2 linked regions of the Struthio camelus genome follow. The protein of the gene in region 2 interacts with the protein of the main gene of each other region in a biochemical or structural test. Links are inferred from orthologs where the notes say so. Each region holds a gene or a part of one and is shown on either strand. Other genes may lie near its edges. The genes, in order: MYOG and CSRP3.

Evidence for each region.
Region 1: the proteins of CSRP3 (region 2) and MYOG form a complex in vitro, tested with the Homo sapiens proteins (2 studies listed by BioGRID and IntAct, with this or other methods). The link is inferred for Struthio camelus from reciprocal best matches to the Homo sapiens genes CSRP3 and MYOG.

The regions. Positions count from the first base shown.
Region 1 is NC_090965.1:3,753,897-3,757,814, forward strand, and holds the start of MYOG (myogenin), read right to left. Parts: upstream 2,920-3,918; 5' UTR 2,869-2,919; coding exon 2,389-2,868; intron 1-2,388. UniProt on the Homo sapiens protein: Acts as a transcriptional activator that promotes transcription of muscle-specific target genes and plays a role in muscle differentiation, cell cycle exit and muscle atrophy.
Region 2 is NC_090946.1:32,068,684-32,072,601, reverse strand, and holds the start of CSRP3 (cysteine and glycine-rich protein 3), read right to left. Parts: upstream 2,797-3,918; 5' UTR 2,626-2,796; intron 1-2,625. UniProt on the Homo sapiens protein: Positive regulator of myogenesis. Acts as a cofactor for myogenic bHLH transcription factors such as MYOD1, and probably MYOG and MYF6.

The sequences.
Region 1 (3,918 bases), on a different chromosome or scaffold from region 2:
GCGGGCATCGCTGCCTCTACCCCCACCCCGGGGCCCACCCATTGCTCTTAGACTTGGCACAGATCCATGAGGAGATGGACTCATCTCTCACCACCCTCCCCGCAAAGCCGCTGGCAGGAGTGGACAAAGCATTCGGGATCCCTGAAACCGATTGCAGCCTGCCACTGGCACTGGGGGGAGCCGGGACAGGCTGTCCCTGCACGAGCGTGGTCCCCGCATGGTGAGCCCATGCCCCTGCCTGCTTCCTCCGAGCACCCCCAGCACCACGGTCCAGCACAACCTGCAGGGATTAACCTTGGGCTCAAGGCTGCTGGCAGCGGTTTGCTCTTAGAAAGGGAGAAAAGGGACATCTTTTTGCTTGGTTAACAACCAAAAAGGCTGAGAAACTTTTTGGGGAGTTCTGGGAACTGTGGTTAACGAGTGAAAAATGCTGCCGTTGGCTCACTACAGGTGAAAAAGTGTCTTTTCATGCAATGACCAGGAGAAAGGGATGGAGATGGACGCCTGTCCTTGGGCAAAACAGCCTTTTACTGAAAAAAATCACCTAATCAGGTTAACAGAGCTGTCATACGGGCTGGAACTCCTCTGACGATCACAAGGGGGATTTCTGGGGAGCAGATATTTTGATTTTGGTATTTTGATTTGTGGGTTTTGGGTCAAATGGATGTTTCACTGGGAAGTGACAACCTAAAAAATGAGACAGTTACTCAGTAAAGTGCTGGATTAACTTTTTTTGTCTCCATCTCTCAGTCTCAGAGTGGATGTTTATTGGCCTGCGTTGAGCCTGAAATGCAATTTTGCATTGCAGCAACCCCAAAGCACTGCCATTTGTAGCAGGGATACAAAATCACTGCCGCATCAACTCTGGGAGGAAAATGGAGGTAGATATCGCACCTAGATAGAGCTAGTCCACAGTAACCCACTGCTGGGGAGCTAGCTGGCAAACCTCCAAATTTTGGGTCGCTAGCGTATCTTGACTGCCGACGTGGAGAGAGAAAAACGACCGCAGCTTGTCTCTGCAAGGCTTTTGCACTGAATTGAAATTTCACACCGCACGTGAACATTAGGCTAGGTGGCTGGTTGGGCTTTCCGTTTTGTAGGGAAACAAAGTGAAATAAAGTCCATCTGCAGCAGGATGAGAAAATGATTTTCACTTCGGTTTGTTTCTCACTAAAATAGGAGATTCATGCAGATATGATTTTTTTGTTTTGGCCAAAAATATTGGATTTCACACTCATTACGTGAATTATCTGTTTCTCCCTAGGTCACAGCTGGAGAAGGAGACCGCAAGGAGGAGCAGTTACGCAGGAACTGCTCAGCATGGGTCGTATTTTAGGCAAGCACTTTGCATCAATACGTTTGCAGGGACAGCAGAAAAATCCAAGCGAATCAAATCAACATGAATATATATAGCTTGGGTGTATACTGGGAAGTCCTAAGAATTTTTTATAGTGATGCCTAAGACTGTTTTCAGGCCTTTACGCAGCCCCTAAATGTACTGTACTGGGCTACCCTGATATCCGATTATTTTTCCCTTAAATCCCTTGGTACTGGATCAGATGAATCTCTGGGAATCCCAATTTTCCATGCCTCTTATAAAGTCCATTTGTCACCCTTAGGGCATTAGGGAAAAGCATGCCCACATATTCCCCCCCCCAGGAATCAGAGGGTAGATTAAAAATGCCCCCCCTCCCCCAAATCTGGTTAAACCACCAAAATCTCGTGATTTTAAGGGCCCTGGCTTACAGTATGTGTCTGCTTGGGGCCAACAGCCCCGAGGGCAAGACACGGCCTCTGCAAGCATCCCCATCCGGCTCTCAAACTGGCATTTTCGGTCCAAGAAATGTGTTCGGCAGGTGGCTCCGCTCCAGCCCCCCCACCCTTTCACCCTGCCCCCTGCTCGGGACACGCCACAATGGCCATTGAGGGTATTTTATTTTATTTTATTTTATTTATACCTTTATTAGCTCTAGTGAGTGAGGGCACATGTGCCACGCTCTGTACAGTATCCAGCACTGGACACGCAGCCTACTCTACATACATATATAAATATGTATGTGTGTTTATAGGGAAAGAGAGCTATAGATCTGCTTTGACTGGGGATACAAGAGCATGGCTTGGGCTGGATCATTGCTGCCTCGTGCAGGGCATATCTGCCAGCTTGTGGTCACATTGTCTACCTCAGCTCTGCTGTCCCGAGGGCTGGAGGGTCCAGGTCCCGCTCCCACCAGAGGCAGGGCTGGGTCTGCTGCCTCTGGGTCCCTGTCCCCATGCTCTGGCACCGGCTGCGGTGCCTCTTTCTGGGACCACTACCCAGGCCGGTGGTGGCCTTAGCCCAAGGCTGGGGACCCCAGGGTCACGCACCCCAGGGTGAGCAGAGGTACTTACCCCTGGCTGGGTGGCCGTGCCGCGGAAGCGCAGGTCCCTCTGCTCCCGCTCCTGCTGGTTGAGGGTGCTGAGCAGGGTCTGGAGACGCTCGATGTACTGGATGGCGCTGCGCAGGATCTCCACCTTGGGCAGCCGCTGGTTGGGGTTGAGCAAAGTGCTCCGTTTCAGGGCCTCAAAGGCCTCGTTCACCTTTTTTAACCTGCGCTTCTCCCGCAGGGTGGCCGCCCGGCGCCGATCTATGGAGACCGTCTTCCGCTTGCAGATCTTGCAGGCCCAGGGCAGGCATTGCCCCGGGCAGTGCTCAGGCAGGGCTGAGTCCTTCTCCTCCATGCCCACCCTGCCCTCAGCACACAGGGCCACGTCGGCCCGCTCCGGGAAAGCCGCTGGCTCATAGCCCTGCAAGCGGGAGCCCAGGAAGTTTTCCCCGTCGTAAAACCTTTGGTCTGGGAAAAAGTAGGGGTTGGTCTCGAAGAGCTCCATGGACGGGCAGGCAGCGGGGAGACGTGTGCACGGCTTGGGGATGGCTGCTCCGTCTCCTCACACCAACTGGTTGGTGCCATTTAAACCCCGGCGCTGGCATTAAATCACGGAGATAAATATAGAAAACCTAAAGGAAACCTGAGCCTGCCCTAAGCTGCTGCCTCACATCAAAACTTGTCCATCTGATTTCATGTGCTCTCCCTGCAGGGATTACGCTGCCCGGGCCAGGCTGCGGCCGTGCCGGGGAGGAGGGGGAGCCCGGGGAAGCTGGCACGTCGGGAAAAGCAACTCGGCCGCCCTGTGAACAAGGGCTTCGTTTGAGCCCTTTGGGTGCCGCCGTGGATGGCGGGTGGTCGTGGGGCTGCCAGCTCCGTCCCGCATTCCTGCATCATCTGGTCCTTTCAGTTACCCAGGGCTGGCACAGCTCGGCTAGGGGAGAGCAGCACCCGGGTGGCTCCAGTCCACCCTGGGGCAGATGGCCCCACATCAGCCTCAGCCTCATGGGATCCTGCTGGATCCCTGCTTCCGGGGTCCCAGCCCCTTCCCCGAGCAGCCCAGCCACGAGCACTGCGAGCAAGGCAGCACCCATCCCCGTGCCCATCCGCCTCACTGCACCCCAAAGTGTCGCTCCACTCCGTGCCGCCCTCCTGCCCCAGGCTTCGACAAGGCTGGGCTTTTCCCTCTGTCCCTGGGAGGAAGAGGCACTGCAGGCAGGTGAGAGCAGCCGGGAGGGCTCAGTGGTGAGTTTGGGGCAAATCCTTCCTCTGCCATAGTCTTCCCAAAGGTCCCTGGCTGAGTCATAGCCCAGACATAGAGCAGCGTTTTAGGCATGAAATTCCTTTTCTTCCAGGGCTCTTAGAGGGCACCAAAACCAAAGAACACCATCTCCTGCTTGTCCCAGGACCCTCTATCTGGCCAAGCTTGGAAGATGAACCAGGCCTGGTCCTGGTCGCCTCCCATCCTGACACTGTCCTTCCTCCACCATCACTAATCTAAGCTAGCCTCCAGTGCTAGGTGCTGGACGTGTGTATAGCAAAAGCCCCTGCCCAG
Region 2 (3,918 bases):
CTAAATGCTTATGTGTTTGATGGTCTAGAACTCAAGTCGTATGTATAGAAAATGCAGAAATCACTTATTGTTTGGCTGGAAAGGGTATCTCAGAGCACCAAATGTAGTATACGATGACTTTCAAGTGGATAAGCAGAATGGGAAATGTAGGTCTTTATGGTCACTGAATCCTGTGATGGTAGAAATGCTGAACCAGAAGGACTTGGATAAGATGTGCTTTGCATCTCTATTTTTAGTCCTAGCTGACTGTTCAGTCTATAGTCTGTTAAAAGCATGAGAAGATTGTTTCCTTTTGTAATAAGCAATAGTATCAAATTAAATGACTGTCACTATTGAAATGGGAGTTTTGAGACTAGAAATTAGAAATTGTGGCCCCAGTTGAAGTCTGTGGGAGATGTCAATGCAGTCAGGATTTTATTCCTGATATCTAATCACAGCTCTACTGCTGACCTGTCATGTGACTCTCTGACTCGTTCAACCTTCCTTAGTCTTACTCCTTCACCAGCACCCCAGGGATAACACTACATAGCTTCCTTTACAGAGAACTTTCAATAGCTTTAATGGAAGAAATAGAGTGGTATCTGGCTGTGTAAACATAGGTATCTTGCACCATATTCAACATTGTCAGGTATCCTGCCTTATCCTCAGCTGTCACTCCAGAGAGCCTGGATCTCCCATAGGTCTTGCCTTATATTTGGTGGTGCCAGGCAAGTGTCTTGAGATTCAATTGCCCTTGCTGTTATTTTTGATGCCCTAGAATATTTGCCTATAGTGTCTTTTGAAGAAGATTAATACTTCCAGATGTTTCTAGGTTATTTAATGTTTTTTTCCTGTCAGTTTTAGTGTAAAGTGTGGTATTCCTCATTGGCAAAAGCTGTGTTTGACTTAAAAATAATTTTAACACACTCCAATTCTGTTTTAAAGTATCAATTAAATACTGCTATGGTTTCTTTCTCTTTCTCACTATGTCACGTTTAATTTTGATGTTTCTGCAGTGCAAAGCATAGTTCCTGTCACTGCATCTCAAAAAGCCTGAAGGTGTTTTGGTCGAAATCTAATCCATTGCAGAAAGCATCATTTCTCAGCAGAATAGTTATACAATAGAGAAAATGATTGCATTTGAAGAGTGAGCTCATTTATACAACATGGTTATGTATTTATAGTGATATTTCTTATGGTCATATACATTTAGTGGGCTATGGATACAAATACAAGTTTGGGTTTATGAATTAGTCAGTGTATTACTTTTATCCTCATGCCGCATAGCAATTTTTTTCTATATTTCTGCAGTAAACCAGCACATAGGGGTCAAGAGACAGGATTTTCCACAATGACACAGAAAAATAAATACTGATTTTGACTGACACTGGTTATGTTAAGTTACACTAGTCCTTTCGAAACAGAAGATTTTAAGTGTCTTGATAAGAAGCAAGTGAGGGGCAAAGCTGACAGGAGAACTCAGTGCTGCCTCTGAATCTTTTGCTTTTGTCACTATGTATCCTTCCCACTACTGTCTTATTTTCTGGCATGGTAATGACGCATTTCTATTAAAACTTCTTTGGTGAACACCTTTGCAGAAATTTAAGATGACGTTTCCAAAAGATGTGATACGCTGACACTAGAACCAGATACTTAGTTCTGACTTTAAAAAAGCACCCTTCCCTCAAACACAAAGTTCAGTTTTCTTCACAAGGCTGTGGGAAACTACATCCTGCTGTCCAAATGATCTGTTTCTTTCCTCAGACCTTATCCTGTGCTATCAACTTCAGCTTTTCCTTCCACAATATCTTTCTTTACACCCTTATCCTTGTCTTAAGTCCTCTAGTCCCAAACAAAACTCTTATGGACTTTGAAATATTGCCGGGATGATTGAGATCAGACTCAGAATTCTTTTAAGTACGTGCAAGGCTTCATTCTTTGCATTCTTTGAAACAGTTTTATCTTTAGACAGAAAACTTTTTGAAGCAGATAATTATTTTTTTTTAGCTATTTTTTTTCCTAAAGACTTGGCCAGTCATGCTACCTTTTAACGCTTGAGTGATGAGCATGTGAATTCTGTCATCTTGCATTTTTATTTGTGATTTTTCTGTTGGAGGTGGAGGTTATGTAGAAATGTCCTTCTGGTTTAATATAAAACCAATTAGACATTAAATATTTAGTGACTTTTTTGTTTCAGAATGCTTTGACTCTCTTACTGAGAACTTCTGAAAGCATATAACTTTGTATACTTTAGCAAGCTCGTATATTAAGATAGAGTATCTGTGGAAGAAGTCATTCTTCAGCTTTGTAACAAAATTTCTAAACACTTCCACAATTTCTATGCTATCCAGTCTTGCATGTGGTAAAAATGCCTGTCTCAGAGATGAGACCCTCCACAGCCCCGTTCTTGTAACACTAATAGCTACCGTAAAGGCCTAGAAGCCCAGAAGAATCTTTCTTTTCAGTTAGCTACTGCAAACCTAAAATACTGCTGTCAGCTCTATAGGACTCCCATTTCTGTGCTATACCTGCACATTTTTCTTAGTCAAGCAATAAGCTGTTTCTACTAGCTTTGGGGGGGAAAAAATAAAAAAACCCAAATCCGTATATCAAACAGTCTTGCAGAACCCCATGTACTACACTTACCAGAGCAGGCTGATGTTTCTTCCTATTTTCTTTGGCCTCTGACAGAGTTTAACTTGAAGCCTTCCTGCACTCTTTAAATGCAGCGGCCACCACTGCTGGCCCTATGAGCTGGGAGGGGAGGGAGCTGGGAGAGGTTGCTTCAGGGATCTGAGCAATGCCATTGCTATCACTGAGCTGAAAATAACATCTGACAGAAGCCTGGCATTTTGTTCCCTTACGTCCACTCGTGAGTAGGTGGACAACAATGCAGCCCCTCCGATTACACCTAAAGGCATTCTTAAAAGCCCTCCAACAGATCAAATAAAGAGTGAAATTTTAGAATTGCGATTAAATTGCTTAAGCATGAATCATAAAATAATGGTTCCTGAAATGAGGATTTAGTAATATATGATGACATCATTGCCAAAAATAATCTAACAAAATAATTATAAAAATAATCAATAACTCATTGTAAGAACCTCTGGGACTCAACAGTCTTAAACCAAATAGAATTTTATTTAGTTAAGTAGTTCATAACTTGATAGCTACAAATGGTTGATATCTGCTAGAAGTCTTAGACTATGGCGACTTATGCTTGTCACTCTAATTTTTAATTTTGTACTTTTTTTAAGCATTAAGACAGGTAGCTAATACGTGTAGAGTTTGGCACGTTTAATCATAGCATCTATAAGCAATTACGAAACCTTGCTGAGCCCCTTGCAAATGCGTGATATTGCAACCATTTTAGAGATGGGCTAAAGTGTAAAGCGCTTAAAGTTCATTTCTTTACAGAGATTATTGTTTGTTTATTTTTAAGTGCTTTAAAGATTGAGGGTAATTCTCATCTTTGGAGGGACTTCTGAATTTAGAAACTTCATTCTTCATGGATTTTGGGAGGAGTGAAAGGGCCAATCACCTAGAACTTAGGGGTTACAAACTGAAGACTGATAGTGAAGGTCTCAACTCTGGGACTTTCATGGGAGTGTAAGGAAATTAGATGCCAAATGTATGTGAAATTTCAGGATTTTAGGGGCCCATTCACTGAGGCTAATTTGAAAATTAAGTCTTAAGAGTCTAACATCTCTTGACTATGGAGTCCAGCAAAGGTTTCTAATGTAAGGTTAGAGGCCTAATTTTTATTGAGCAGAAGAGTCTTGGACCCCATTTCTTCTCATTCATTCTTCCTGGGTGGTTCATGGAACTCTCTTGCTTACGTTAAATAAGGCTAAATGGTGCGGTGGCAGCTGCAGATGTGTATGGTATGAACATCTCCAATAAGATGGTCGAGAGGAAGGACTGGGGCATGACTGAGCT